Linked DNA regions of Lepisosteus oculatus. The protein of the gene in region 4 binds, or shares a complex with, the protein of the main gene of each other region. Links are inferred from orthologs where the notes say so. Each region holds a gene or a part of one and is shown on either strand. Other genes may lie near its edges.

Region 1 (7,873 bases), on a different chromosome or scaffold from region 4:
GCGTGTCGTCCCGACTGAGTCTGACATAAACCTTTTCCTCAGCCTCCAAACTGGAAAACAACCGATGTCAAATAACCGTGAATTCTGAATCTCAGAGATCACCCACGAAGGCTCGTTATTACGCCCATCAATAAAGAAGGTTTTACCAACTGTTCTCCACTCCTCCGCAATAACCTTCGCGTTGTTAACAATAGTGGCTTACATCTGTTCTAACGGTGAAATATTTCCCCAGTCAGCCCCTGACATCCAGTAGATCAGCTAAAAAAATACAATTTTTTCAATTTCTCCGCAAGTAAAGGGGAGGGTTCATTTACCATACCGATCATAAACATCTTTACAGTATGAAAAAAGGATTGCACGAGCTAATTAATATCGCTATGAAGCAAATGAAATCCAACAGCACAGAGAGCTACCATTTTTTCACATCATAAATTAATATATATACACATCCAGACTAAAAGAATTTCTAAATTCTACTTATTTCCAGCGATCACTGACTTAGTCAAACATCCAGGTAAAACGATGTGCTTACAAAGTGAGAAGCCATAATCTCGCGTATTTACTTCTCAATAAAAAGAATACTAAGTGTTTACGTTAACAAGTGGGAATATCAGCTCTAATGGGTTTTTTAAAACAAAAAACTTTTTTTGAATCATTAAAACTTTCCGACGTCAATTCAGTCTCTTTAGATATCATGCAAGCGGAATGTAAGGACGTTGTATGCAAAATATTAATATATTCCCAAGACTTTAGTTTTTTTTTATGAGTTATATCGCAAGTTGTAAAACTGCTCAAAACTTCTAAAATCATGCGATAGAAAACGCCTACATACGTTGAGGGAAACACGCTTAACTCAAACTCTCAGGTAAGAGCCAACCTGAAGAGCAATCATGAGCGCAGGGATGCGATTAAAACGAGACTTGAAAAAAACACTTACCAAATTCCTTTATATTTCGGTAGTTTGTTTCTTTTCTTCTTCTTTTTTTACGCTTCTTTTCGCCTTTCAACCCGTTGAACCATGTTAACGAGCAAGTCGTTTCCCCGTCACAAGCTAAGCGCAGGTTTCGGCTCACTCCCTTTCGCAAGCGTAATAATGGCTACCTTGTTCAGAAACTAGATAAACGGGTCGGCCGGGTTTTTGTTGTGTGGTAAACCTTTCGAATTAGGAGCAAACGACTTGAGACATTTTAGTCCTGGGCGAACACAAACATTTCTTTCTAACCGGTAGAAAAGGAAGAGTTACGGTCACGTGGCTGGGCAGGTAAAGGTGAGATAGGGCTCTATCATCCCATTCATAGCCAAATTGGAACAGTATTTGCATGAAGTGAAATTAGGACGTAACAAAACAGGGTTTGCACGGATACGAAACATAATATTCGTATATGTCTTTGACAAGTAGAGGTCATCTTTAAAAATGCAAAGTGTTTCGATTTTTTTACACTGCGTATAGTATTAATTTCGTCCCTCCTTTTTGAATCTGTACCTCTTAATTTAGTGACTTGCTAGATTATTTTACGTTTGTTTTAGTAACAGGTGGAGCATAACCGAAGAACGCAGCGTTTTCCCCTTATGATCTGCTATTGGTCCCCATTGATCATTTTTTATTTTATTTTATGCAGCTTTATAGCCAAAGATAATCCTCAGAATCATGAATTCACTTGCTCCTGCTGAGCTCCCAGTTGTAGGTTGTTTGATTTTGCATTTGTCGGTAAGTGTATAACAACATATGCTTCCTAAATTACAAATTGTTATGTGGTCACATGTACATTCTGCTGTTCTGGGTGACTTTCAGTCTGAAAAAGGTTACTTTTTTGGGAGCTGGGACATTGAGTTCCCTGTATAGGAAGGAGAAGCTTGTATACAATTAATTAAGACAATTAAAGGTTGTGTAGTTATGGAACAGGTTACCCAGCCATGGTGTTGAAGCTGATATACCTTGGTTACTTTTAAGAAATGTCTTAACAAGTTCCTTGGCTCAATTAACTTCTAGCTACCAAATAGGTTAGATGGGTCACCTAGTCTCCTCTCTTTTGTAACCACACATACATTCTCATGTTTAAGGTAAAATAATAACAATTCCTTGCATTTACAGTATATGGCATGTTTTTTAATCCCTGAGGATCTCACAACTAGACATTGAATGAGATCCACTTCATGTACCAATGTAACACAGCACTGATGTAGGGGACAGGCAGCAGTCTACATGAGCCAGTACACAGCAGATCCGTTAGTGAAGAAATGCTTCAGCAATTGACCGAAGCCAGCAAGGCAACTTTAGAAAGGCCAGATTGAACACGCCCAGTGTGTAATGTGGCCTGAACACCAGGATTAGTATCTTTTCTCTATCATTAAGAGCCTTAGTGACCAAGTAGTCAGGACTTTGGATTTATGTACCATTCATACTGGGGTCCGGCTTGGAAAGAGTGCCACCTACTGGTCCAACATCGCCACTTACAGCAGCAACCTGTTATCCCACTACTGACCCAGCTAGATGCTTAACTTCATAGATCTGTGGCAGCTTGTGTGTCACCATATTTTAAATCAATATTACGATTCTAAAGTACCTTACAAAGAAAAGGAGGGCTTGATAATACTGTTACAAACTTGTCACAAATTTGTTACAAACAGTTTTATCAATCCTCCTATCTTTCTCATTCACTTAAAAGGTGGATTGATTTAAAGAACATGTGAGTCTCCTGCTCACATCAATTGATGATTCTTTGGAACATTTAAAGATTATTTTATTAAACCCTGTGACTCTCCATTCAGTGAATGGTTATTTATTGTTCTACAGTATATGCTTCAAGTAGATATGTGCACCATTGAATAATAATGAAACAGAACCCATACATTCAGGGCATAAGAGCACAGACCTTGGTAAAACACAGGCACAGGTGTGCCACCTTTATTACTGAAGGAGTAATAAACATAACAGGAGTAATACATAACAGGAAGGACTACAGCAAAAAAAAAAAAACATGTTTTTATTTATCCCTCTATCCTTTCACTGGGCGTAGAAACTCTGAGGGAGAGAAGAGATAAGATAAGATCACTTTATTGGCCATATACAATTTCTGGTATTAGGAATTTGTCTTTTCGCATGCACACACGGAGAGGGAGAGAAGCTGGGGGTCAGAGCACAGGGTCATCCATTTACAAGGCACCCCTAGAGCTAGTTTCTGTTTCCTGTCTCCTGAACAGGAGTCCCCTCGCCCATCCGCCTTCGGCAGGAGCGTCAGAACACGTGACTCGATGGGACAACCTGTTTGTGTTACTATCTGCCCCCTTCCTCCCAATCCCATGTCAGAGAGCCGTCGCCCGCCTTGAGTGGAGTTTCCATCTCGCTCTGGGGTCCTGCGGGTGGTCTCAGTGCAGCCCCACACCTGAGGGCTCAGCAGCCGGGTCCCCTCCCACACCGCCGCCAAGGGAGCCCCCAGTTTCTCGCGCTGCTGGCTGAAGCCGGAGCAGCGTGTCTGAAATGTGTGAGCCCTGAAAGTGGTGCCCTGTGCTCCACAGCTAGTGCCTCTCTCTCCGTTAAATTCCTCTCCTCTCCGCCGGTACAGTCGCGCCTCCTCCCTCTAGACTAGGGCAGCGACTGGCCCCATATTCCCCGGACACTGTGAGACAAAGCGGCATTTTAAAAGTGCCCTGACACCGAAATACATCATTGTGTAAACCGACCAATAGACTTTTACTGAATTGACCTTCACGCTTAATTATCAATCAGGGGCAGGGAATAAAATAGTTGTATATGATTCTTTTTTCTCAATAAAGAAGCGTCTATATCTTTTTTTAAAAAAAAATAATTTCAATCCACCCCGTCACCTGCAGAGACCCCTCTTTGAAAGTTGCTATTTGCATTTTCTTCGAATTGGGTCTTCATTGGCAAGGTTTGCCGATCACATTGATGGACCGACAGTGCAAATTACGATTATACTGTAGAACAGATGACCTAAGAAAAACTAATTAAAAAACTACCAGCTGGTGGAACGCATCGAGACAAATCGCCAACATTAAAAAAATGGACAGCTGTCGTTGATCAAATAAAACAGTTCTCCGCTGATACTCTTTACTCCACGACCAAACGAAAAAGAAGAAAAAAAAACAATTTAGTAAAAAGGATTGACGTTTAATTTACACCTTAGGCTACGTTTAAACCCCAGACTCCCAAATGTGGTGGCGCACCTACAGTACGCCTGAAACCGGGTTTAATGAAAGTTTTTTTTTTTTGCACTGGACTCTTGCCGGCTCAAGTTTCGCAGAGGCCAGGGTTATTTGCCTTGACAATAATCGCTGTTTTTTTTTCCAAATTTGGCAACAGCCGGTAACCGACGTACCGGTTAGTGATGGAAACGGTTTTAGTCAGTTCTATGTGTTGGCTGTACATGTCCCAAGATGTATTTGTGTTGTGTAAATGTCTGTAGACCTTTGTATTCGCCGTGTGCGCTTTGGCACCACTGTAACACTGCGGTCATGACAATAAAGCTGTTTGAATTTGAATGTAGTGGCGTCCCCCTTTTCCACTAAGCCTGAAGGGCCTTGGCGAGCTCCTTCTCCTCCGATTGGTTACCGGTCTCATCCAGGGGAAGGGCTCACTCTTTCCTCTCTCCACCCCCCAGTCCCCCCAGTTTGGCGTCAAAACAGACTCCTCCTGCCGCGTTGGCTTCCGTTTTCGGAGCCTTTCGTTTACAGGAACACGTGTGGCGCGTACGCGTTCTTGTTTCGGACTGATGGTGTCGGGAAATTAATTTAACAACCAACCAACAAAAACAAAAAACCCCGTCAGGTTTGTACCTAGTCGTGCAGCGCAGCGCGGAGCGGAAGGGAGACGCGCTCGCCTCGTTGCCCAGTGCTGGGGTTAAACGGGGCCGGTTTGACACATGGGTCGAGCCCAGACATGGCCGGGCGTACGGACAGTGCGTTTCCCCCGATGCTTTTCCCCCAGGCCTACAACACCGGGCCTCCGGGCAGGACCGCTGGCGTCCTGCCGGTTGTAGGCGGCTGGGGGGTCTACGGCCAGATCCGGGGAGTGGACCGTCTTGTGCCGGAGGTGAGTACTTCAGCTCCTGCGCTCGCAGATCGTCAGCAGCTCCTGCGCAGGAACCTGCCGCTTAAGAGCCTCGGATCGTTTTTGCACATGCAAATGCACAAAGAATCGTCTTGTTTTGGTGGGGTGTCGTTTCACCCTGCATGCTCGCCTAAGTGCTTGCTTGAGCAGAATGGGATGTATCGCCTTATTTTGCAAATATTTTGCAATAAGATCATGCAAAACCTTATGTTGCATTATCTGCCAGCTCGCTGGCTGGGAAAAAAAAAACTGTTTTGCCTGACCTAGAATAAAGTTAGTAATTTGATCCATTCGGTTATCTATATACGCGATACAAAAGTGGTATTTCATGACGGTGTTGGGAAGATTTCAAATGACGGGAGGCCGACGGTACATCGTTTCGTAACTTAACTCATTGATCAGGATGTCAACCAGTAGTGTCTTAAAGGCAGCGACGGGCTCGTCTTCAACAACGTGGCCGACAAACTGGTTCCGTACTCCCGCAGTCTTTTTGTTTTCTGTTTTCGTCTGGCAAGGCTGATTTTCAACAAGTCTTGTAGGGTTTGGTGCCTTTTTGAGGATTTTGAATACCTGTCTCGGGTCCCCTCAGAGTTAAGTAAGAGCCCAGAGCATTAGTTTTGGCAGTGTGTCTGCGGAGTTTGAACTCCAATTCTTTCAGCAATCTTTTTTTGGGGCGGAGCGGTGGCTCTGTGGCTAAGGATCTGCGCCTTTGCCTGGAAGGTTGCGGGTTCAAATCCCGCAGCCGGCAGGGCAATCTTACTCCGTTGGGCCCCTGAGCGAGGCCCTTCACCCCAACTGCTCCAGGGGCTCTGTACAATGGCAGTCCCTGCGCTCTGACCCCCAGCTTCTCTCCCTGTCCGTGTGTCTCATGGAGAGCAAGCTGGGCTATGCGAAAAGATGTAATGCAAGAAATTGTAAAAGGTTAATAAAGTGATGTTGTTGTTGTTGTTATAATTATTTTTTTTTTTTAACTTTGCCTGGTGTTTCCAGAATGCTGGCCTAGAGGGTAAGATCAAGATAGAAGCCCAACACAAAGTAAAAGGAGAGGAATGGAGGCCGACAGAGCCCATTGTATGTCCCTTGCTGCCCCCGAATTCAGGTAACTGGCCTAGTGTCATTTATCGTATCCTAATCTTTAACCTAATCCTTATAAATTTCTTTCTTCTACCCCCCTCTTAATGATCTCGTGGATAAAGGATTTCATTCCCAACAACACCGCTGTATGCTGTACTGTTCGTGCATTGATAAATAAACCTTGATTGATTGATCGATACTTTGCTTCGGACCATGCTGCAGGCGGTATTTCCTGTCTCCAGTGGGCGCACAATCGGTGGTCTTCCGTTCAAGCACAGTTGTTGGTAATCCGATCCAGTTACAGGCCCCCCCCTCTAGAAGTACTCAGACCCTTCCTTTGTCATGCCACTTGTGAAATAACAAAATGATGTGCACACTTTTTTTAACTTCTTCATTTTATTCCAAACCTGAATGGCTCAAAATGAAGAATTTTAAGGGTGAAAAAGAGTTACGGTAAATATCAGCAAAACCTAAAGAGGAATAAAAAACGGAGAAATATAGATTCTGGAAGTAAGAGAGGACAGAATTTGCTAGAAGGTTACAAGAAGAATACAATACATTCATACAGTAACAATTTACAAGATTATGCAATAAAAAAACCATAGACAAGGAAAAAACATCGGGAGGGGGTGGATTTACATATGTGTAGTATTTATCTGTTCTAATCACTTTTTTCCCCTCTCTTCAGATTGCAAGATTCCCTCATCAGCTAACTCTCATGCCTTAGACTTCCCAGAACATGTAAGTGGTGTTGCAAGTTATTTTAACATCTTGTGATTCTCTGAGAGTTTGGAAGTGAATTGAGTTGAAAGGCATGTTGGTTCCTGCTTACGGACACGAGGCTTCAGGAAAACCTCACCACGGAAAAATGTAAATGTTAGTAAATGGGTGCCCAGAGAATAACCTGGCATCTCATTTGTGCCTTTGTTTTTGAACAATGTGTTGGTGTTACACTTACAGTTTGAACCTGTCCAATATAGTTTTAATCCTCTTGAGTGCTTGAGAAGTAACTCTTCTAGATTCAAGCAAATACTAGTCAATTCTGATTGTATAGCACTAACTGATTCAGATTGAACATTGTAAGAGTACAGTACCCCGAGTTATGTTAAAATAGAGTTTGTATGATTGTAGATACTGAATGTATACTGTGAAACTATGGTTCATATTCTGGGGTTGAAAGAGTTGGTGTTGTTTTTTATTTATGTCTTAAAAGCTTTATTTCTGTCATTTCTTGAAGTTGCGGAATTTCTACCTGGATAACCATCAAGATGCCTTTGGGACTATGAGCCGTCTGTTAGATGAACACTTCTATTTTGGTTACGGTAATCTACAGGTATGGGAAGCTATATTGGTGGGGTTTTGTAAAGCGCAACGCTGTCTTTCAGTGCATTGAAACCATGGTTGTTGCCTAGTTGCTTTTTTAGAACAAATCTTGTTCAGTTAGTTCAGTTCTGGTCCTGTTGGTGTAGCTCTGAAGTCTAGGCCTCATTATTTACAGTTGGCTTCAGTGTGATTCTATACTATTGTGTGTGTATTTTGAATGTTTTGTGCTGTAAAATGGCGGCAAAAAATACAAAAAACATCACATTAAGTTTGTTTTTTGATCTTCATTTTCAACGTTTTTGCTGCACTTCCAGCATAAAATTTGAATCAAGTCTGATTATCTGTGGGTTGGCGCTTAGCTTTATATTACTTCAACAAGACCTTTCTTTTGATATTTTGTCTTGCTTG
Region 2 (7,640 bases), on a different chromosome or scaffold from region 4:
TGTATGCTCTGATAGGAGTTGTATGCAGGAAACCACATCAGATCCATCAAAATTGTTCATGGGAAAACATCTCCTGGTTCCATATGACACACAGTGCACCAGAGCACATGCACATGAGTTACAGCCCAACACAGCTACGGAAATAAAATAATGTCTAGCAAAAAAAAATCCCGAACTACAGGAGATGAATGTGTAGGTTTTATCCTATTTATGGAATCTAGTGAAGTATTTGTAAATATTTTCATATTAAAACGTAAACTACCTGAAAAAATATAACCTTTTCTAGAATGTTTAAATGTTTGTGGACCTAGTCAACATTTCTCCAGTTAATATAAAATAAACTTTTTTTTTTCACAAGAGCATCAAGTTTTCTTTTATCAGAACAGCAGATTACAATGATTCCCCAGCCATCCAGCTACTATAATGGTGGATGTTCATGATCAACTACTATAATCAGTATTTGTTAAATATAGTACCTAGGATATTTTCACCACAAGTGACAAAAGAAGAAATAAATATTATTCATGTTTTAGATATTGATTTCAAATGCATTTTCATGATCTCTCATACCATAATTTAAGCAACCCCACATCTGATTGCAGTAAATTCATTTTGAATCAACTACATAACACAAGAGTTGTCTTTAATGCACTGTTAAGAAAACAATTAACCACTGCCCCACAATATGTAGAAAAGTCAATACACTATTTCAAGCATGCAACATGTTGAATAACATTTGTAGATTCAGTGTAACTGGTTGTGGTCTTCTCAATTTTTCAATATATGAACTTTTTACTTTAAATTAAAAACTATAAATTCTAATCCCACAATTCTTTTTAGTTGGGCACACATTTTGGTATGTAGTAAATAAGAATGTGAATTCATTAAGAACCAACTAAATAATGCACAGTTGTCCTTTAATGCATTGCCAAGAAAACTGAAAGCCCTTGAACATCTAAATATTAACTGAACCCCAAAATATGTGGGACAATGCTTCCTCCATTACAGCAATCAAGGATTTTTCTTTATTCCTGAAACAAAATTTTACCATCCCCAAATATTTACAATTTCACTTTTACAATATCTGAGGTATACCTTTATAATTTGTATGAGTTGTACAATGAAAAAAAATACAAAAGTTCATATTATAATGTGGACACATTGTATACTGTAGAGCACACTTAATAAAACAAGGGTGTAAGTTGTTTGTGCTGAACATGGTCTTCCATTTACATCTCCATGTTGCTTTATTTCTGAGTAATAGGAAACGAGTTCTGGTCCATTAACTCTCCCACTCTCTCCTGTAGGATTTGAACTACTTCTGCTAAAATGAAGACGTGCGTGTCATCCAGGTCTTGAATGATGAATTTCTTCCCCAGAGCAGAAGTTTCATCCAAATACAGAAGAAACTGCTTCATGGCAGGATCACTACATTAAAACAAATACAAATACAAATACACATTTTAGAAAATGCAGGAATCTGACAACATACAGAGTGACTCTGTAAAAGTACTTGCTTTCTTTGAAGATTTTAGGTTACCTGTGTTTAGTTTTCTTCTCCTAAAATATTATAGATCAATAGTTGAAAACATTAGTAATATGATTTTACAATCTTGGACATTTTCTTATTATTGTACTGTATGTTTAAATTGTCACTACACACAAACAGCTTTTTAGCAGCTGCAGTTCACATGGAGCTCAGAATAGGAATGAGAAATGCCTGGATTTCATGAGTAAATTTCAAACAGTAAAAGTTGCCCAATGCACATTTAATGACAATTAGCCTATATCATTATTACACAATACTACAATTTGAAGCAAAATTATTGGAGACCCATTAACTGCAAATGCATCACCTCACTTAACCTCATTTCTTTTAAAAAATGGTTTTACTAAAAGCATTACAAATATTTATCCTACTACCTCATTAAATATCCTGAGCATAGCATCCTTAAGTTGAACACTAAAGTATCTTGAGAATGACTACAATCGATAAAATCCAAATTTTAGCCACAGAAATAAGATAAAAAGCAAAGTGTTTTAAACTCTTTAAAATTTATTTTACAAATAAGGAAGTAAAGGCACAGGGATATTTTTGAAATACAGGTAAGTTCTTTTGATGTACATACCATTCAACAAGAACTCCTTTCATAACATTCACCATTTTTCTACTTGTAGCTGTCCCACCTCAGAGACTCGTGATATGCACCTAGAGAAAGGTAAGTTGAAAACCAGGATAACTCTACAGTATCAATGATATGAAATAATGACCTCGTGTTCATTGTTCTGTACTGCCGTTATATATTACTGTGCTTTGTTGTACTGTCATGTTATCATTTACTATACTGTGAAGTACTGTGCACACTATGTGAAAATGTTGTCTTTTGTACTGTACTCGTCCCGAGAAAACCGAGCGAAAACGAATCCTAATGTACATATGGCGAATAAACTCCTCTCTCACACACACTTATGCATTTTAATGGTTATGCATGCATTCTTTTCGAAATTTATAACACATACAAACATGGTAATTGTTGTATCAGAGGAATTAATTATAAACAGCATTTAGATTAACTAACGCCATTAAAAACACCATCATTACTATTGAACAACCTATTTGTGTGGGTTTTACTACCAATACTAATGCACAGTATTAGACTGAAATACTTCTAGACATGCCAAAGAGCACAATGAGCTGCTGTATAGCTACGTGTAAAGGTTGTTAGTCAAGTTTCGTAAAAGCTTCACTGGAGCTGGATTATTTCTTTAATTATAATACAAAAATACACAGTCCTAAAGGCGTGCTAAGCAGAAATGCTAAACGATTTAGCTGTACTAAAGTTCCGTAAATAGTTTTTTTTTTTAATATCGAGAGGGTGAATAAGTGAAAACTCACCTCTGTAAAGCTACAAATCTCTAAATTTCAAAGCAGTGTACCCGTGCGTTTGCTAATATAACAGCAGCCGGTTACTTAAAAACAACCATGCGAAAAGCATTGTGGTACAGGATTTGTGGACGGAAAGCTAAACAGGACAAGATAGACTGCATTTAAAGGCGCAGTACACAACCCATTGAAATTGTCATGACCGTTTTGCCTGGTTTCGCGTAAGAAAAGGAACTTTGTTAAATTCTTCTGTTTCAAGAAGTAGTCTCAAGCTTTTATCTTCGAAAGGAATACTTAACGTTTCTCTTTTTAAAATTGTCTTTATCTCTCCACATTAACAATGCCATATGACATTGACATTCTCCGGATAAACCTCAGGTTCTTTAAGTACACCGTCGAGCCTTAAAAGACCTTAAAATTGGATTGCATCTTCTTTATTTACTATTTGAACTATGCTGCGATCTCTGAAAGTATTTTAACAACAAAGTTAAACCTTTGATTATTTGTTTCTATTTGTGATCGTGAGATTAATATGAATAAATAAAATGTTATTTTGGGTGCATGCATAACATGATATTCATTATATCAAAACATATCTAAAACATATTTTGTGTTCATCCAAGTGATCATAAGTATTGTCATATACACAATAAGCACTTTTTAGAATGTGAAAGTCAGTAGTTTTTTTTACATCTTAGAATGTGCCATCATTTGAGATGCGTACCTGCGGCCAAAGTAAATTCCTGGCTAACATTATCAAGTAATCTTTAACAACCAAGTAGTCAGGAAATTAGTTCAGTGTCTTATCTGGAGGGCAACATTACATACAGCTGTTTCCCTGGTCACCATGTTGGGGTGCGGCAGGTTTGGAAACTTTGGTACAGAGGATTGACATCTTATCCATTAACACCACTTACAGCAGCAAACTGTTTTCCTTGGAGACTGGCCATCCACTACAGATCATACCGTGGTGTGTAATCAATGGATCCACAGCATCCTAGTAGATTACTAGAGAGGATCTTTGGTGTGTTTTTGGTACACTGTAGAAGAGCAGTGTCCTTACAGATCTATACAAGTATACCAGTTTTCACAACACATGCTAACGAAGTCACAGTGGGTATTATTATTATTATTAATTATAATTCAAATCCTTACTTTAAGCATTAATATTATACACATTGATAATCTCACCCACAAAGTGTGTGGGGAGGGGTTGTTGGCCTTCTCTTGTTAAACAGCCTATATCTTTGTGTAAGGGGCTTGTTGTCTCATTTATTGGTGGATTTTCATAAAACAAAGTTTCAATTATATTATAAAATAACAGAGAGACATAGTCAATAGATCATTCAAAATTAATCTTATCTGCAAATACAGACAGGAAATGTTTACGGATGATGTTCACATAGTATATACTGTAATTGGAACGGCTTTCACAGGATTCCATGTAAGTAGGTACAAGGCAGACATTTAAAGAATAAGAATATTCTAAAGGAGAAAGCAACATTAAGAGACAAAGTATTAATAACCACACAGTTAATGTTAAAAGTTAATAACCACACAACTCCCAAAATGTAAATACAAATGCAAAAAATGTTTTAATAATATGGCATTCAAATATCATGTGATATTCTTTGAATATAAAGTGCAATGGAATTATACTTCTGAATATTTATTTGAGATCTGGTACCAGGGTTTGTAAACATGGGTTAAATATATTTCTTATCATTTATAATAATAATTTATTTAGTTTTTCCGCAATGCAAATTAATTTGCATTTCTGTGCAATGACATTTTAAGATTATTCATGAATAATCTATTTTACAACAGAAACAGTAAACTTAGTATCTTTTACAAATATTTAGTTCATGTAAAAGTAAAGACCTTCTATAATAAAAAATATACAGTATATATCACCTGAAGATTATAACTTTTATGTTCTTGTACACAGACCACTGCTCTATTTTTCCTGCTCAATGAAACAGTAAACTCTTGGTAATTTATGTATCCATGTCTGAGGCTTAATTAACACTGACATATACAGTATGCTATTAAAAATGCAAACACTACAAAACTCTTAGTTTCTTTTCCTTTGTTATCAAACTTTCATAACATGCAGTATGTTCTGTTGAATACTAATGTTATAGATCTGCTTTCAGTAACAAAATATTACGAAATCTTTATACATATGCAATATGGCAAAATAATGTCAGGTTTTTAAAAGCTGGATTTGAGTTTTAATTTTAGGATATGAACACTTGGGGAAGGTGCTTTCAATATATTGTCCGTATTGACAGTAATACGTTTTTATTAATTGTTAATGTGGCTTTCCAGTGCATCTCTGATGAACTGTAAACTGCGCTTGTAAAGGAAAGAATCCTTTTTCTGGGGTTTGCAGATATTTAGATGATCGACATCCACTTGAATGAGGTCGCCAATCCCCAGATCTGAAAAATTAATGGTAAACATGATTAAACGTTACATCAAAAATAATCAAGTGCTACGGTTTCCTGAACAAATGAAAAGAAATTCACAATATACAATCCCATGTGTTTTGGCTTGTGCTGCTTAATTTAAGTTATTATTAATTTCCCTTAATATACTGTATCTATTTTACCTCCCCGCAGGAGCCTAAGCACATACCTGCAGACTGCACTGGCACGACATGCATCTTCACCATAGGACCGATGCTGGTGGGTAGTGTTTCTGCAAAGCTTAGTATCTTGAACTTCCTTTCCTTGGCCATGCACAGAAAGCGTTCATTTAGTTCATTAAGTGCAGGGGAATCTGAAAAATGTGAAAAGATGTATTATGGATAGAAAAATGGTCATGTTTACTTAGAATTAAAATGGAATTGAAATTCCATTATCTTAGAATTAAAATATGCCACTGAGATGCTGTAAACATGGCTTTGACATATTAAAAGGTAATTTCCGTGTTTCTAACAACAGAAAGGTGTTCCCCTTTTAAAACATCAAACGTTTTCAACAGCTAGCAGTTGAGAGAATAACACATAAATCGTTACTATTAGTCTTAGGAAAAAAAACAACCAGGGCAGTGTTTGCATACATCATAACAAGAGGCATGCAGTATGTTTTATACTTCTTGGCACTGTGAAAATATTAAACCTAAAAAACTAACTTGACTAAATCCAATCATAAAACAAAGTGAATAAAAACTTTACCGAAAACTTTAAGTGATCTTACCTTTGGAGAGCTCCTTGACTTCTACCGAAGGAAACAGCAAATATTTGACAGTGACTGAATACTCAGCAATAGAGGTTCCATGATGAGGAACACTATAGAACATGATTCCTTGTGTATTTTTAATTAAGGACTGCATGTCAGGGTCCTTTAAGGCATCAAGGAGCATCTGTTTGACCAGCAAACCTGTGAATATAAGGAAAAACATCTAAGGTTGAAAGAGAAACTTCTAAATTCAAACTTGTAAAATCAAACAGATTCAGTTTGAACATGCCATCCATACAGTAAAGGGTAGGAGATGCCCAGTTCAAAATAAATGATTCTTTTTACTTTACTTCCTTATGTTCTATTCTTTGGAGGAGAGGTTAAGTGCAAGGCCTATCATAAGTGTCATTGCAGGAGTAGCATAATTCATCCTGTAGTCTCTGTAAGTTGCCTTGCACCTTGTCATGGAAGAGAAAAAGTCCCCAGAAACTGGAAATTCTTTGATTAAAAGCATACTGTATAAGATATAAAAACTGTAAAACAGACCTTAAGCTAAATTACATCTAGTGATGCACTTATCATAAGCTAAGAGGAAATAAATCCTAAGAAGTCCTATGACACCAGCAGGAAGGATTCTCAATACCACATGTTGCATGACTTATCAGTACTGTATGTGTGGGGTGATTGTTCATGATCTTAGGAGATGCTGGCCAGCCCAGTTGGACCCCTACACGACCTTGCATGAAGCAGACACCTAAGAGTTATGACACCTTTCCCTAGGATTCTTTCACACGACCTACGCGTGTTTGTAGCACTCACTACTTTTCAACTGAGAAGATAATTCTAACATGTCATGTTAGATGGTGTCTGGATGCAGATCTTATACAGTATAAAATTAAAAAATTGTGCCACATAGGCTTTGGATGCTACATATGTAGGTGAAAATTGGAGAACCTTTTTCTGGATTATATACTCAAGAAGGTGAGGATCTGGGGTAAAATTTGGAGAAATATAGTTGACATAATATCTTGTAGATATGCTGTAAAAGGAGAGATTTATCTGTTTGGTTGTATTTCTATGGAAAGCAAAGTGTTACCATTTGTTACCTAACTGATTTGACACAAAAACACAAAATTCTTGACCAGTCTTGACATTTTACTGGTCTCACATTTATTCTGATAGATGATAGCACTTGCCCCCATCATTCCAGCTGTTAAGCAGCACTTGCTGGCAAGGTCTCCAGCCTAAACTCTAACTGATCATGTCCAGGTCATATGAAATCATGCAATTGCCATTTATGTTGTTCAATTATGGATTCCAGATGAGCTCCAATTTGTTTTAGTATAGGAATGCAAATATCTTCTTAAGCAAATATTCTGACATATGATCAACTACATGGTACTGCAGAATTTTACTGATGCTACAGGTTACCAGACATGATGTTGTCAATTAACTGATTCACATATGAGGTGTTTAGTATATTTTGGTGAATTGACTGCAGCTGTTATGGATTTAGTAATCCACTATTAGCAGGAGTAAATATACATACATTCTACTGAATAAAAATGTAT
Region 3 (8,167 bases), on a different chromosome or scaffold from region 4:
GAGGCATAGAAGTAATATCAAAGGCATTCTCTCCATTACGATTAAATATATGTACGGAAAAGTGTTTAACACATAGATTCCTGTCTTATCATTCATAACACAGGAGACACTCGGTTAAGTGTAATTTGAGCTGGTGGGACAACTCTTCCAGTGATAAGAACAGGAAGCCATAAATGAATTTTACAGTAGTTAAAAGTGAAATCAGGAAAACAGAGAGCTATAGTCAACAAATATGTAACAAGGAATACACAATGCAGTCTGAAAAAAGTGAATCTTTGACTAGGTACTGTATAACTGTACATAAGCAAAAAAAACCTTAAGAGGCCTAAATCATATAACAAGATTAACTTAATGCTCCTGTTTGTATATGTTGAATCTACTAGCCTGAGGCTTCAAGAATTAATGGCAATAAGTTGCAAAACCAAAACAGAATCAGATTTTCAGCAAGTACTCTCAGAATTAGTGTACATTTCTGTCTTACCACACTATGTTCAAAGCCTGTCAACTGCTTTTATATGAGACATAGAGAAAATAACATCATGCATTGATAAAATACCTCTGCAATGTTGTGCACAGATTAAGAACTAGTGCTATTCTCTGCCTATATTTACTGTAACATGGCAGCAATTACTTTGACAAATACTGTCGTGATAATGTCAATTTGGCGACTAAGGAACGTGACTATCCTTAGAACTTTCTATCTATAGATTAAGTGTGGATTGTGCCAAAAGGACTGCAGGAAACATGAGAAAAAGCAGCAAAAATATTAACCATTCAATTTAGTCACATTCCAGTCTATCCTCGTTTAACACTGCCCTTTTGGTAACAACGGTATCTGGTCATTCTGAATGTTTACCCCGAACAATGGAAATTGCGCAGAGTATCCTGCTCGGTGAAAGTGATAGGTTTGGAAACGGTGCCAGTCATTTTAAAATTATTGACCATATTTTGTTTATTTCTATAGGGATTTTTGATGCTGACAACAAAAATACAATAATAAACCAAAACATTGCATCGTTAGTAATATCAATATACCACAAACCAATGCGTTAAAACCACAAAACAGTATTTTCTACCCATAAGTCAAAATCTGAGCTCAGGACATGTACGTTACTACTGAAGCATACAGCAATTCCCCCTCATCATACTTAACACCAAGAGCGCCTTTAACAAGAATTAATGACCTTTCTAACAAAATTGCACTGAACCGTGCTTAAGTTACAATTTTCCAATAGGCTGTAAGAAAAATATATGCATACATAATTCAGCGGGTATCATTAAGATGCTTCCCAAACGTAAAATTGCAGAGAATGTTATCACAAGTCACCGGTGATTCACCTGACAAATACGTATCACAAAAAATATATTTATATTCAACTTGCACTAGGGCAGTGTGTGTTGGGTCTCTCTGAGAGCTTTCCGTCTGAAGTGCCAACAGGTCAAAGCAGATGCCGGCTGGCCAGGGCATCTTTTTTTTCTAGCAACGCATCGACACAGTCCTGTCGTATGAAAGCGAAAAGAAAAAATGGCAAAACTTACTGCTACATTCGTCGTCGTTACATCGCTTTATGTCCGAAAACCTTTTATCTACTGCCTTTTCGGATCCCGTTACAATAAAAAGTATCACTAGGAGGTACAAATCCACAACGACAGCAGCCATGCTGGCAAGCTACTGCTAGTCGACTGCCCGAGCATGAGCAGAACCGGCCGACACGTCAGCAGATCCGCAGGTCTCTGAGAATTGGGGATGCAGGATGTACGAGGAGGATGTGGAAAAGGATCGGAGTCAAGTTACTAAAACTAAACCCATGAGGAGTTTTATTTAAAGAGCCATGAGCTTATTTTCTCCGTGTCTTTAACAGAATTTTGATTATAAAAACGCAAGGTGTTGCCTTTTTCTCTAGAGACAAATTTAATAGTAACTAGAAAGAACAGTTCTTCGGGAAAGCTAAACAGATCTGCAGTGTTTTTTTAACTACCAAAATGAAAAGGGAGCTCCCCTCCGCCCTGTAATCGGCCATTTCTAGAGAGAAGTTTCTAGTTATCTGCGTCACAATCCTACCCCAAGCGCAGTCTGGAGAAGTTGGGGAGTTATGCTGTTGTATTCTCTCAGACATACATAAATTATGATTAAGAACACAAAGTGTTTAAATACAATTTTAAAAGATGTAGCATAAAATAATTCCTAGCTAAACGTTTATATATCTTAATGTAGGGTGAAACTGCGTACCGACGAGGGAGTTATACACCTTATGTCTAAATTATCCACATTCTAGTATGAATTGTATATTTTCATGCAAATCCTTGTGATTGTTTTTCTGTTGAGGTTTAGGAATTTCTATGGATTACCACGCTTGTGGAAGCAAAAATATAATGTTTACAACACAATAGAGGTGACCTAACAGTCAAAATAGGCCATTTCCATGTGAGGAACATCTCTGAGGCTGTATTTTTCTATTTCTCGTGATTTTGTCAAGGAAATCGAGCACAGATTTATTTCTCGCTGTATATCCCTCTTGAATGCAGTATTTGAAAATACTAATGGGGAATTAGTCCAAAAACCCCCTGATAGATATCCCAGTGCAAACAAGGAAAACAAAAAACAACATTTAGAATTGTTAATAGGTTTTTTCATGTTAAACTAACACTTTCTAGAATTAAACATGAACAACATGATATATATATATATGTGTTCTGTGAGACTGGAAAGGAAACACGTTTGTTATTTGTTGTTTTGATTAGATTTGCAAAAATGTATCATTAAGCATTTATCGTTAGGCACCTTCTATTTGCTGATATTTAATCAGCCTTTAATACAATGCAGTCACATATTTTGGTTGAAACGCTGATTTCACCGTTCAAATTAAATCCTAGTTTTCTGACTAAGTACACAAAATGTACTTATTAATGTGTTGGTATCTGACTCTGTACTTCTACTAATCCACCATAAGGGTGCGTTCTTTCTCCCCCTTTTCATTTTATATACTGATGACTGTCAGAGCAACTATGAAAATCATTGTATCAGGTTTGCTGTTTCTCTTCTTTCAGAGCCTGGACAAACACATGGACCCATTCTGGATGAATTTGTCAACTGGTGTGATCCTTCTTACCTTGAGATTATTGTGTCAAAAACAGAATAATGGTTGATCTAAAAAACAAACAAAGCACTGGCATTCCCACAACCATCCATGGTGAATCAGTTGGTATAGTTCACAGTTACAAATATCTGGGTTTGAGGTGTTTGAGGAAAAACTTAAGTTCCCTGAGATCACTGATGTCATTGTGAAGCATTGTGAAGCACTTAAAACAACCAAAACAACAAATAACAAACATGTTTCCTTTCCAGTCTCACAGAACACAAGTATATATATGTACCTGGATGGGAGACCTCTTGGGAAAAACTAAGGTTGCTGCTGGAAGAGGTGTTAGTGGGGCCAGCAGGGTGCGTTCACCCTGTGGTCCGTGTGAGTCCTAATGCCCCAGTAAAGTGACGGGGACACTATTCTGTAAACAGCCGCCATCCTTCGGATGAGACCTAAAACCGAGGTCCTGACTCTGTGGTCATTAAAAATGCCAGGGCATTTCTCGAAAAGAGTAGGGGTGTAACCCCGGCATCCTGGCCAAATTTCCATTTTCCATTGGCCCTTAGCAATCATGGCCTCCTAATAATCCCCCTCTATGAATTGGCTCCATTACTCTGCTCTCCTCCCCACTGATCGCTGATGTGTGGTGAGCGTTCTGGCGCACTATGGCTGCTGTTGCATCATCCAGGTGGATGTTGCACATTGGTGGTGGTGGAGAGGAGACCCATTAACTGTAAAGCGTTTTGAGTGGAGTGTCCAGAAAAGCGCTATATAAGTGTAAGCAATTATTATTATTTTTACTTATATGTTTTGAGAAAACAGTTCCACAGAATCCAGAAAAGAATTCTATCAGCATGTTAAAGGTATTATATATGGAAGCCCGTTTCCGTTTTTTTTACTCCCTGGCGGAAACGGGCTTCCATATATAGCTTTTATATCAAAAGTATTTTAACTTTTTCATTTAACCGTAGATTCAATTCACTCAGTCAAAGAGGCAAAAAACACCTTCAAAATGTTGCAAACCTCAGCTTAGAAATCATTGGACAGCCTTTAAGACCTCTGGCATAGCATTGTGTCCATCAGATCCTGAGGAAGGCCTGTGACATCAGTGAAGGCTCATCTCAGGTCTTTCATCAGTCTTTTGAACTTTTGCCTTCGTGCTGTCCACAGCACAAGACAAAATAAAAGTTTGGTTTGCTCCAGAGGCCACCAGGCTTGTAAACAATGAATGTAAAGAAATTTTATCACTATGACGTCAATTGGATAACACCCTACTCTACAAATGTGCAAATAGTTTAATACCTTCTTAAACATTGCACATTGTTACTTTCATAATAACTAAAGTATTTTGAACTGAATTGAATATAAAACTGCGTGTTAGATTTATAATTTGTAACATAGCATATAAAATAATATTTAGTTTTAATTAATTTGTTATACATAATTAGTAATATTGGGTCGATATATTCACAAAACCAAAAAAAATAATTTATTGTTTTCTGATTTGTAATTCCTTCTGGCAGCGTATTGTTGATGATTAATTATTTTTCTTCACTTGTCTTTTTCGATACCTTTTCTGCTTTGGTTGTATCATAAGGTGTTTAATAAAAGCTTAAGAAATCAAATACATGTTTGTACCAGAAGGTCCAAATAACGTTTACTGTCAGATCAGGCTACCACAATAGTACAACATTATGCTCTAGGTCTGCGCAGATACACTGCTGCAGGTTTCTGCGCTATAGGAACTCTGCTTTAGAGTCAGAGTCGTCGTCCATGACGTAGACCATGTTGCTGTTTTCCGTGGGCATGCGCACTGTCAAATTTGGGAGGTCCTGGAGTCTACATGTGTGGTGATCAAAATGTACTAAAATACGATTAAGTCGTTTTTTCGTGCAAAATGAACATAATATCGTTTCAATAGTCAAGAAACCAATTTATGTCATTTTTTATAATTGGAACATGAACGAAGACGTTTTATCAAGCAGGTTTGGTTGTCTGAATTATGTTTAATGTTGTGATTTCAGATAAATGTTTCTTTTACGCGTTTGAAGTTTTTTAAAGTCGTAACACTGGGAAGGTGGATTACCGTGTGCTTCTTACTTTCGGAAGTGAGCTGAATTAAGAACAGACGATACAGCTTTCAAACACTTCATGAAAACAATACGAAAGCCTCCTCTATCATAAACTGTATTTCCGGTGTTTTGTATAGCCTTTAATACACTTCGTATCAGGAAATGTAAATTGCGTTTTAGGTCGTGCTTAAGCAAATGCAATCGAATAAGAAGTGTTGTCCAAAACGTTTTAAAAAACTGACCTTATAACTAAACCTTAGAAATTGGCATGGATGTTACTGGTTCTTCAACAGGGTTCTGGTGAGGAAAATCATTAGTATACAAAGTAACTTACATAATATGCAAATAGGACAGACGTTTTAATGTTATTTGTATGCGTGATCATCTTCGATTTAGTGATGTTTTTTCTGATCAATATGTGAAAATCTTTTTCAGAGGAATTCAGTATGGAACATAAAGCAAGGTACTGCTATCATGGATTCCTTAAATCTTAATATTTTCCTTTTTTAACGAGATAAAAAGCCCTACTGAGGGCTGCAAAGACGTTTTAAGTGCTATAATTAAATGTAACACTTTATGTCAAACTATGTATGAGCCTCTTAATCCCTCTTAACAGTTTGCTTGAAAACCTTATAAAGTAGAAGAGTTCACCTGTCATTTTTAGCTGTTCACAACAGGAACATGTCATATCCTTTTTCTTTTTAGGAGACATGGATGACCTATGTGCTGAATTATCCCAGTCTGACCAGCAGGACAGTTTAGACGATGAACAGCAGATTTGTAGTCCTGAAATAGGAGGACGACCTCATTTGCCTCTATTGCACAGTTTCAAAGGTAAGATCTTCAATATTCACTGTTTTAAAGCAGTGCCCAAGCCTTTATCCTATCGGCTTACCGAAAATAATTGAAAGGCTGTTTTGTATTCATTCTTGGAAGTAAAAAGGATTTGTGTTTCCTCCTTTAGAAACGTTGCCAAGGAGAGAGACTGGTTTTCACAAAAGCTCCAGAATATGCCTGACCAAAATTCAGGAAGCTCTTTTCAAGCACCGTTGGGAAGAGGCTGCAGAATACATGAAGAATTACTTTGAAACGCTGGAAGACACAACTGTTCGGAAGCAGACTGTATCACCTGAAGTGAGTGTGGCCGTGACTGCACTAATTTAAAGAAGAACTGCGTTCACAATTTTGTAGACTAGTTATTATATCTATGTAACAAAAAAATAATTGCTGGTATAATAAAATGTTACAAATTCCGAATTAAGCAAAAACTGGTGAGCTTTGTGAAAGTACTGTATAGTCGTCATATAGTCACAAACCCGTGCTCTTGGCACAGGCAAGAGTGCAGATTGAGATATGAGGTGGCCCTTCCTGCTCACTAGTCACTGTAATGACTAATGAGTGAATAAGTACAGGCTGTGTAGCGGACATTTCACTGCAGAAATGTTCCAACGTGATCTGCATGCAGAGTTAACAAAAAAGTAGTATTTGTTGGCAAAACCTTCTCAAGGTTGAGAGCAATATTTCTGTTGGATTACAAGAGATGTATTCACAAGCTTGTTTGTTTACAAAGTCATAGGGCTGCTATGCCTCAGTGGAAGTTTGGTTGCCTCGTTCTGAATTGTAGAACAAGACATTGAGCATAGCTGGAAATGTAATCTATTTTATGATGTAAATTGCAGGTTTTACACATTACTGTGTACATTTTACTTTCATTGTGGTTTGAAATGCACTCATCAATGCTGATTCTTTCTAACCCCCAAAATATAAAAATAGCATCGCAGTGTTCCCCTTTTAAAAACAAAAAGTGCTCTCAGGTCCACTAAAGGTGCATTCAGTTTGAACCCTAAAAAGGTCATTGCTCGTTCAAACCACTGGTGTCTCATTTTGTTCGGTGACTGAGATTCTCTTAAAAAGTAGGGCATGATTATCCTGGCACTACCGGGGCTAGGTGGACATGAGTTGGTCATGGCACACAGATAAAATGTCATACAACGTACAACATCGACCCCTTTAGCTTGCTGGGCTCATGTGAACGTTCTGTGTTGTCCATGAGAGCTGCAACACTCCTCTGATCAGTGCTGAGTCCACTAAAGGAACTGTGTGACCCAATGTGGTGGATGTCTGAACACAAGTATACTACACATGCTTTCATCTCAGTTTAGTCCTCAGCCTCCCTGAAAGAAGGTAAAAGAACTGTACCAATAAAGTGAAATTATACTTTTTTTCACATTAAAAGTTGGAGAATATCCTTGAAGGAAAAGAGTTGTTTTTGATGAGTGCGTTTATTATTTTATTACAAGAGTGTTTAATAAAAATCCCTACTATTGAAATAAGGTTGCCATATTAATGTTGAGGGATTAAATGTATAAGGAAAACAAATGATGTAATGGGACCTGTACAAGTTTACCTGCTAGGGAGATGCATTTGGTCATGGTTTGCGTTACATGCTCTTTGCTGAAAAAGCATTATTGCAGCTAAAACATTATATTTATGACAGTATTCAGAGTCACCAGTAGAGTAACTTGCCCTATACAATTTCACATACTCTTTACTGGTAACAGGTATTCTGCTGTCGTTTCTAAAAAATCATTTGACTCTGGGTAGTTATGTCTTACCCCTTCACAGGGAATGACTTTTTGAAAATAAATTTGAAGTCGGGCCGAGTATGATTCTTTTGGGGTGCAATCATTTTATGAAACAGGTTTTCACACCCTTGTCATGGATTTAGCGGTTTGTGTTGTAGAAAACCACTGCTAAATAAAATGGAAGCAAATAAAATGTCATATCAACGTGTTTTAGACCGATTGTGCCAAAATGTTTATCAGATTTTGCTAATATTTTTCAGGTAATCTGGAGGATGGGCTCAGAAATTCTGCATCACCTTCCTAATGCTAAACTGGAGGATTTCAATTCTTTCCTGGAGAGACTGAAAAACATTGGAGTGAAGAATTTTCAGAAGGTGGGTGTGGGTAGCTTTCACTTGCAGTGTTAGCCGTTCTTGGCAGGCGTACA
Region 4 (8,126 bases):
CTCTGTGTTTATAAAACCATATAAAATAGCAGAGGTGGGAATGTACAACCTATAGTTCAGTATGAAGTAATACTTGAAACTCAAAAGAACATACTGTACTTCAGGTTATATTGCATGATATGCAGTATCATGGCTTTTTAAATAATTGGGAACCTGTGTTTCCAGGCAAAATAAAGCTCGTGCCGATATAAACAGGTGATATCAGATCTGCAATAGACAAAGACTCTCATTTCAGACTGGTGACGATGGAACCAAATCACAGCACCTTTAACGCAATGTTCTCCCAGAGCCAGGTACAAACAAGGCAGTGCAGTATAAAATATAGCAGGTTAATTAATGATAATCTCACAACGTACTACCTACTATGAACATTTTCTGAAAATATAAAAGGATATCATGTCTTGTCTGGGATAATTCCTTAAAAGTGATTTCGGAGGACAGATGAGCACCCCAGCACCTTTGATACAGAAATGTGGTTCTTGATCTCCCTCGCTATGGAGGTCATAACTAGTTAAATAACAAGTCTTTGCTGTACAGTCAGAGCTACTGAAAAGGGAACAAAATGACAGAATGTGGCTGAATTCCTAAAAATGATACAAAGCTCAAATCCTGAAAGAGTTCAAACAGAAGACCCAGTGTCTCTTGGCTGACGTCCACAGTAAACTGCACAGTGTATGTGATTGCAGTGTGACAGTCGTACCAGTACTCCTCAACACTAAAAGCAGGTAGGAGAAGCCTCTTGCTTTCCATCTGCCTGATTCATGATGGTAAGTGTTCCCGCAACTAAAAAATGATGTGACCTAAAAAGCACTTTGTCAAAATCAAGCTCATGTTGCTTTTACAGAGCGCTACATTCTTTAGAGGCTACTTTCAGTCAACAGAGAACAAATTTGAAATTCTTTTCTTTGTGATTTTTGGGCCTGTTCCTTTTCAAAACAAGAGCTAAAATCGCATAAGCCAAACAGGCCATTAAACTTGCTTGTTTTAGCTCCCTGTTCCAAATTTTCAGAAGCAAAGATTGAAAAAATGCTTCTTGAAAATGATATATTATGGTGAATAAACTTGATTTGTGTTTAAAGTTGACCTGCAAAATGACTTTAGAAAAAATGGATTGTTGAATATACAGTACGAGTGCTGAATCAGATTTTTTTTTTAAAAAGATGAGCTTGACTTTGTTTGACAAGCCTGAGAACCATCAGAGGCAGCTGAGACATCTTAGCTGTAGGAAAGGAGGTGGAATTCTGGTGCTGGAGGGCTTTCATTCCATCTCTTCTCTTAATGACCTAAATTATTGGCTCAATTGGACCAATTTATCCACTTGAGGTGCCGAAACCTACAAAACCTGCAGGCACACCATCCCTCCAGGACCAGGACTGGACACCTTTGCTGCAGGGTAATACACTGGCTTAGGCAAAATTAAACATGATGGATTTCTGTATGTATGCAGCATTATTCAGATTTATACACAACTTAAATAAATTCTTAACAAGCAATAATATCTGGAAGAATGGTAAAAAACCCTCAGAGCTGCCAGGCCCTCACAGCCCAATACAGGAAGTGCCCAGTCAGTGTAATCCCTGCCAGAGGAGGATTTACAAAATACTCTTTTCAGGAGTGTGAATAAATGTGATTCTTGTGTTTTCTGGAATTCCTGTGACAAGTGACATTTGTGACAAGTATGCCTTTGAACTGTGCAAAACTACCGTGCTTACAACACAACTTTTTTAGTTTAGAACTCTTTTAAAAACAATACACTGAATATACAGGCACTGAAAGGTTAACCATATGTTGAGCATTTAACCCCATGAAAATATCTCGCATGAAATTTAAAATGAAGAAGGCTACTTCTATTGACATTTCGCAGCCCAACTTCATTTTGATACTGCTGACAATAGAAAAGGTCAAGTGGCAAACAACCCTGCTAGAAAAGGAGAGTACCATGCACTGCTTATATGAATAAATCTGAACTGTATTAATTAAATAATGTTTGCCCCATGCTGTTGTCATGCTAGAAGAATTGTGGATTAGAATGTAAGGATGGTTACAAACAACAGGAGGCCACTCAGCCCAGCTAACCCAATGCTCCCTGTAGTTAAACGATGCTAGGATGTCATCCAGCTGTTTCTGGTAAAAACAAAACACAGAGCATTGGCAGAGTAGTGTCTGGGTGGCCGGATCCAGACCTTCATCCACTTAGCATGAGCATTACCATCATGAGCCTGCACAAGGGGACCGAGCCGGCCGGCTCTCTCTTTCTCCCTCGCTCCCCCGGATTGGGCCCTGCGCGTTTGAAAAGCGGACGGACGCGGGCCTGACGCGAGGCCTGGGACCCCTCCCCGGCAGAAAAACGCCAGACCGGCGTTACCTGCTGGCCATGTTCCACTCCAGCGCCGGGTTCTGTGAGCTCCGCTCGCTCTCCGCGGGAGCGCCCCCCTTCGCCCCCTCCTTCTCGGGCTTCAGGTGCTCCCACCGGGCCGTGCCGATATTGATGGACTGCAGATCGACCTGGTACTGCCGGTCTTCCACCTCCGACCCCGGGTCCCGCAAGATCCCCAGATTCGAAGCCCTCCTACAAACAGGAAACACACGGAGAAATCGTTCTTTCATTGGCACGGGGGATGGCTTTTCTTCAGCTCAGCGATTCTTAGTTTAAAACCCGGCCTTGTATTTTTTTTTAATTGGAAGGACATCAGATTGGAAATATGGAAATAATTGGAAATGCTCTACTCGAATGATTTTATTATTTTAATGAAAACAACGTTTGCTTTGACAAATGAATTTATTGTCCCTTCTACTGTATCTTCTTGTACTTTCTCAAGATAGCCCTATCTAGCATTACCGGTGATCAGATCTCGCAGCTGCCACTTCTGCTGTGTGTGATCGATGTTACATACTGTACATCCCCAGCGCGTTTAGTTTCTCTCTATTAGGCTAGGAAATTCTCAAGCAGCTGCCATTTGATGATGTCCCAATCACTAGATCTGCTGTCGATAGGAAAACCACAGTGACATAGAATGACTTACAACTTACAATGAAATCTCACTTAAAACTAGTTGTTGCACACTTGAAGCGCCCAGATTTTATGATAACTGGTTACAGTATCTGTTATGAGACATTCAAAAGTAGCACATTCAAAAGCAATGTGTCACAATTAACACTAATTTGAGATGAGGCACTCACTTCTGAAGTTTGCTAGCACAAAAACAGCAGGAGCAGACTTGCTTCTACTTATAAACTTTTTACTTAATTTGTTGTTTTTTAAAAATTTTTTACAGGGAACCCCACATCCTTTATGAAACCAACTAGAACTGACAATTTTATTCAATTTCATCCTGAAGCATATTAACAGCGCACGTACTGTACTTCGTTACAGATACTATAAAGAGATGTTCTGGCAAAAAGAATTGGCAAGTTCTGTTAGCTGTATGTTTTTTATTCACTTTCAGTCAAGCAGGTTTATTACCAAATTAAAATTCTGGAAAAACAATATGTTGATAAATAACATGACCCTGGCAAAGCAGGAAGAAAATAAATAAAATGACCTTCAGGTAAAACAGTTTGCCTCTTAAAAGCTCTGATTTATGCCAAGTTATAATTAGTGGTAAATACTCCAGTTGACTTAGCTGGATTGTGCAGTAGTTTTAAGCCTTCTTGAAGGACTGAAATGAGAACAGTTTGTTTACAAATTTGAAATCCATGAAATCCTGTAATACGTCAGAAAATGCCTCTCAGTGCTAAGTGATCTGCTCTTAAAATTCCTCCCTAAGAGATTAAACACACTCAATGATGTCATTTATTTTGCTTTGGAAGACAAGATGCTGTTGAACACATGAACTAAATTTACATCTGCAGATGACATCAGGGCTTACAGTTATGATATGTTTATTTGTCCTGGTGAATTCAAATACATTTTTATACTGTAAACAGAGGCTCAAAATGGCAACAGATGTTAGGACAGCACGAGTAGTTCTTTTTGTTTGAGCAATTATCAGTGGTCATTTTTCGTATATTGTTTCTTCATTCAGTAACACACAGCAAGCGTTTAACCCACAGAAATGTTACAAAAAACACAAACACAGCCGACACTAAAAGTCTGAGATGCACTCGATTTTCAAACAAACTTTTACTGGAGCGGTCTGAGCGCAGTACCTTGCTCGTGGTTTCAACAGCTGTGTCTCAACTGGGATTTGAACCCACGACCTTCCAGTTCAGAGTCCAGAACCCTAACCACTCCTCCACATTGCGGGATTTTAGCTGAAAAGACCTAGGGGTGCTCTGATCCCTTTAATGTTTCACATTCCACTTTAGACAATAAGAAAAGGTACAAATGAGAGCAGGCTATTCTGTACATCAAGCATTGGCTTTGAAAAAAAAACAACAATGATAATAACAAGCAGTATATTAAACATGCACATGATGACTAAAGCAAATAACGTAGTGTTCCAATATGCCAATCTGGCTTGTTCCTGAGCCAAACCTTTTTCTTTTAATTGGAGAAGAGACCACAAAAACATTACATTTATGACAAAATTCTGCTATTTATAAAACTAGATCAAAAGCAAGTCAAGAAGAAAGCTTTGTTTCTTAGCAATGTAGTCATTTTATTAAGCATTTCTTTGCAAAATCTAAAACCGTTAACTCCTAAAAGCCACAGAAATGCCTTTTTTGGGTCCAAGGTTTTAGTTTAAAAAATGCTAAATAGTGTGTTCCCATGCCAAAGTCTTAAAACTGTTACTTTATTTGACTAGCATTTCATGCACAAACAGTAATTTATTTAATCATAGGAAGGTGTCACACTCTCATGAGATAAAAGCTGTCCAATGTGTGATGGGAAAGGAGAGCTCTGTTTTCTTTGGTTTCCATACTGAAGGCACAGGGTAAAATCTCAGCTACTGCAGGATCCCAGCAGCAGCTCTGATGAGCAACCAGGTACAGTAACTCTACACGATCTCCAGACACCAAGGACACTTCTCCACTCCTTGTGGATTTGGAGCAACATTTCGTAGCTAGTAGATGCACCAGTAGGAAATTCCTCAACAAATCACAAAATCTCAATCAGAAAAAAAAACCAAGATGAAAACAAAACTTGGTATTGTAAATTTTCCCTAATATATACAGAAATGCAAATTCAGACCTCCTGCATACTATTGTTGAAAGAGATGACAGAGGAGAAAACACATTGTTTGCCCAGAAACTGAAATGCTCGCAGGACTAAATAAACAAACTAAACAATATGTCATAAAATATCTCAATAAATTAGTAGGCGGGCAATTTCCAAGTCGCAATTCTGTAGGAGGATAAAGGAAAAGCCACAGTAGTTAGTGAATAAAAGCAAGTTCCTAATTTACCACAGGAGGTTGCATAATGAGAAGGAAACAAAACAGCTCTTTTTCAGATGACAAAGTTCTGGGCAAGCCTTTGTACAGATGCCAGCGTTGGTGCTTTAGTAACACCTGCGCTGGCAAAAAAAAACACTTTATCTTGCATTGTGCTGACTGATGACAGCACTCTAGGCAGATGCACAAACTTAACTTGGTAAACCAACGGAATCGGACGTCATCTGCTATATTTGAGGTGATCTGCTGTATATGTTAAAGCAATGGGTAGCATCTGGATTGCTGGTGGCACAAAGGCAGAATGGAGCAGAGACCTTGAGCACCCAGCTCTGACACTGTGAAAGGCACTCTTTACTCAGGAGTGGATGTACAGTATTCTCACTGGGCGGCCCAGACTAAATTCTGTGCATTAGGTCTTTTCATCTGTCAGTCCACAACTCAGAGGAGGTCGCAGAAGGAACTGCACTTCAGCCCTTTTCATTCTACCTGTTAACAACTCACACTCAGCATGCCTGATAAACTATGGCAATCAATACTACCGACAGCCCTGTAAAGTACTTCTGAAGAGATAAGTTTTGACTTCTCTCTGCTGTGATCCAACTGTGAACCAGCTGCTATTTCAGAGTGGGGCCTCCTGTTTTTTTTTCTTGCTGCATTTTCTGAGGCAGAAAAGGTTAAATGTGGTTCAAGGTAATAAAATAAACCATTCTGAGATGTGCACCAAAGATCTCAAAGTCCAGGGCAGGCTTATCTCAGTGCTGTTGGCTATTGAGTGTGTGCTAAGAACTGCAGTTTTCAGTCAGCAAGAGGCCCTGAAAGCAGAACCTGGTAGTGCCCTGATAATACTGGGGCTGAATATTTATTTTTTTCATCATGTGGAGTCTGATTTCTTTACCAAACCTTAAAACTTTTTTTGCATGTTCCAAATATTCTAAAAAAATTCAAGGCACAATGTGCATTTGTGAGTGTTTAGCGGTTTTTTACACATTTTGCACACGATGTACATGTCTTTCTGAACTGTATTGGTTTTACATAAAAGCTGAACACTTTATGAAAAGTGTTCATGCTGTTGTGTACACAGTAACTGTTTACAATGTCCAGAAAAACAAGGATTTAGAGTCTTTGAAATTACATTGCACTTACTGTATTTAACTTTACACATTTCTTTTCATTCTATTTTTATTGTTGATTTTTCTTGAAAGATTCAGATTTACATTAAGAAATAACCATGCCGTGTGAAAATCAGCCACTATGCTGTTCTTTGAAAACAAGATGTTTCAAGCGCAGTCATTCATGGGACTTGTCTGCTGTTTCATTTGCATGCAAGCCTCATAAACTACATCTCCTCCTGCAGGCCTAGAACAAGCCTTTCATCTCCCTTCCATCTTACTGAGAACATAAGGGTTGGATCACGCTCTCACGGATTTATTAAAGGGAGGGAATTCATAAAAATATAATTCATGAATGTTGCAATTACTCAGTAAGTTTAAAACCCAAACTGATGGTGGTCCATTCTAAACTGCCTAAGTACTGTGACTTTGAGTAGCAACATTACTGAGATTTATTGGTTCAGTCAACTCCAATTACTCCTAATTTGCATCTAAAAGCATTGCAATTAGGTCTCTGAATTGGAACACCAAGTAGTCATTTAAACCCAACAGGAAAATAACATTATCAGAATTTAACGAGTCGATGAGATTTGTTTTTCAAAAAAAAATAATTAGGGTCATGTTCGCAAGGTTTTGCTCCACTCTACTATATAAGAAGTGGGGTTTTTTATCTCCTGAAAAAAGAATGGCCATCAAAGAAACAAAACAGAGGTCTGAAATGAGAACAGCATATTCATTCAGCATATCTCGCATGAGGGTTTTACGCCAGTATTAGATCAAAAGCATCAGCAAAATCTAATCCATGAAACAAACTGATGTGGACATTAAAAGAACAAAAACGGTTTTGTTCATTATATATTTAATATATTTTTAATGTGCAGATTGCCAGATGTCAAGACACCTTCCTCCTTAAACAGCATTTCAGAAATAGCATTTCTAAAGAAGCAGCTAAATACCTTATGGAACGGGAACCAATACCCTCCTGAAGCATCACAGCAAGGTTTTTCACTAAACCCAACGACATCACCATCATCCAGTGCTACACCCCCAACAAACAGAAAGACACCATCCTCTTAACAGGTAATGTCATTGCCAACTCTGGACAGGACAACAGTGGCCATGAATAAATCGTGGGCAAGCGTGCTCTTGGAGTAATACGTGAAAATGGAGAGGAATTCAGTGATTTTTGTGTATTTTATTGGAGGGTCTGTCTTCCCTCTCAAGACAATGCAAAAGGCCACACGGGCATTCCCAGACTGCAGGGCCGAAAACCGGACAGATCACATCTGCACCGGTGAAAGATTCAGGAGATCCCTACTAGGTGTTAGGGAGGGAAGAGGAGCCGACACAGTATCGCCTCCTAGCAGCAGTAAAGCCCAGGCTCAAACTCAAGAAAGTTATGGGACCAGTCACAAAAAACAGGAAGGCCAAGAAACAGCCGGAGAAGGACCATGCTGGCCAACCTGAAAGAAACAAGAACATCATGGAGGGTGACGGAGCGACCAGCGCACCACCAAGCCTGCTGGAAACCATTTGTGGATGACCTATGTTCCCCAAAGAGCAAAAGATTTAAGAGGCAGCTCTGTATGGGACCTCAGCCCTCGGCTCTGTTCAATCCCATTGATTCTCCTCAGCAGGACTGCCAGTTTGACCCAAGCTGTTCTGTGGCTCTTTGTTTTGA

The links.
Region 1: polr2k (region 4) and taf1c share a complex: the UniProt entries of both Homo sapiens proteins name them as parts of the pol I pre-initiation complex. The link is inferred for Lepisosteus oculatus from reciprocal best matches to the Homo sapiens genes POLR2K and TAF1C.
Region 2: polr2k (region 4) and gtf2h5 share a complex: the UniProt entries of both Homo sapiens proteins name them as parts of the TBP-based Pol II pre-initiation complex. The link is inferred for Lepisosteus oculatus from reciprocal best matches to the Homo sapiens genes POLR2K and GTF2H5.
Region 3: polr2k (region 4) and taf1a share a complex: the UniProt entries of both Homo sapiens proteins name them as parts of the pol I pre-initiation complex. The link is inferred for Lepisosteus oculatus from reciprocal best matches to the Homo sapiens genes POLR2K and TAF1A.

The regions. Positions count from the first base shown.
Region 1 is NC_090698.1:66,526,515-66,534,387, forward strand, and holds the start of taf1c (TATA box-binding protein-associated factor, RNA polymerase I, subunit C), read left to right. Parts: upstream 1-4,497; 5' UTR 4,498-4,897; coding exon 4,898-5,050; intron 5,051-6,058; coding exon 6,059-6,167; intron 6,168-6,830; coding exon 6,831-6,883; intron 6,884-7,379; coding exon 7,380-7,475; intron 7,476-7,873. UniProt on the Homo sapiens protein: Component of the transcription factor SL1/TIF-IB complex, which is involved in the assembly of the PIC (pre-initiation complex) during RNA polymerase I-dependent transcription.
Region 2 is NC_090697.1:48,833,594-48,841,233, reverse strand, and holds gtf2h5 (general transcription factor IIH subunit 5), read right to left. Parts: upstream 3,003-7,640; 5' UTR 2,897-3,002; intron 2,210-2,896; 5' UTR 2,165-2,209; coding exon 2,130-2,164; intron 1,429-2,129; coding exon 1,248-1,428; 3' UTR 627-1,247; downstream 1-626. Other genes in the region: protein SERAC1, read right to left, coding at 5,192-5,328, 5,525-5,668, 6,088-6,270. UniProt on the Homo sapiens protein: Component of the general transcription and DNA repair factor IIH (TFIIH) core complex, which is involved in general and transcription-coupled nucleotide excision repair (NER) of damaged DNA and, when complexed to CAK, in RNA transcription by RNA polymerase II.
Region 3 is NC_090697.1:42,661,889-42,670,055, reverse strand, and holds the start of taf1a (TATA box-binding protein-associated factor RNA polymerase I subunit A), read left to right. Parts: upstream 1-4,875; 5' UTR 4,876-4,926; coding exon 4,927-4,944; exon of another isoform or gene 4,945-5,068; intron 5,069-5,590; coding exon 5,591-5,618; intron 5,619-5,860; coding exon 5,861-5,989; intron 5,990-6,119; coding exon 6,120-6,289; intron 6,290-8,000; coding exon 8,001-8,114; intron 8,115-8,167. Other genes in the region: mia3 (transport and Golgi organization protein 1 homolog), read right to left, coding at 1,540-1,660. UniProt on the Homo sapiens protein: Component of the transcription factor SL1/TIF-IB complex, which is involved in the assembly of the PIC (pre-initiation complex) during RNA polymerase I-dependent transcription.
Region 4 is NC_090705.1:8,620,611-8,628,736, reverse strand, and holds the start of polr2k (DNA-directed RNA polymerases I, II, and III subunit RPABC4), read right to left. Parts: upstream 3,152-8,126; 5' UTR 3,148-3,151; intron 2,570-3,147; coding exon of another isoform or gene 2,366-2,569; intron 1-2,365. Other genes in the region: intermembrane lipid transfer protein VPS13B, read right to left, coding at 2,366-2,569. UniProt on the Homo sapiens protein: DNA-dependent RNA polymerase catalyzes the transcription of DNA into RNA using the four ribonucleoside triphosphates as substrates.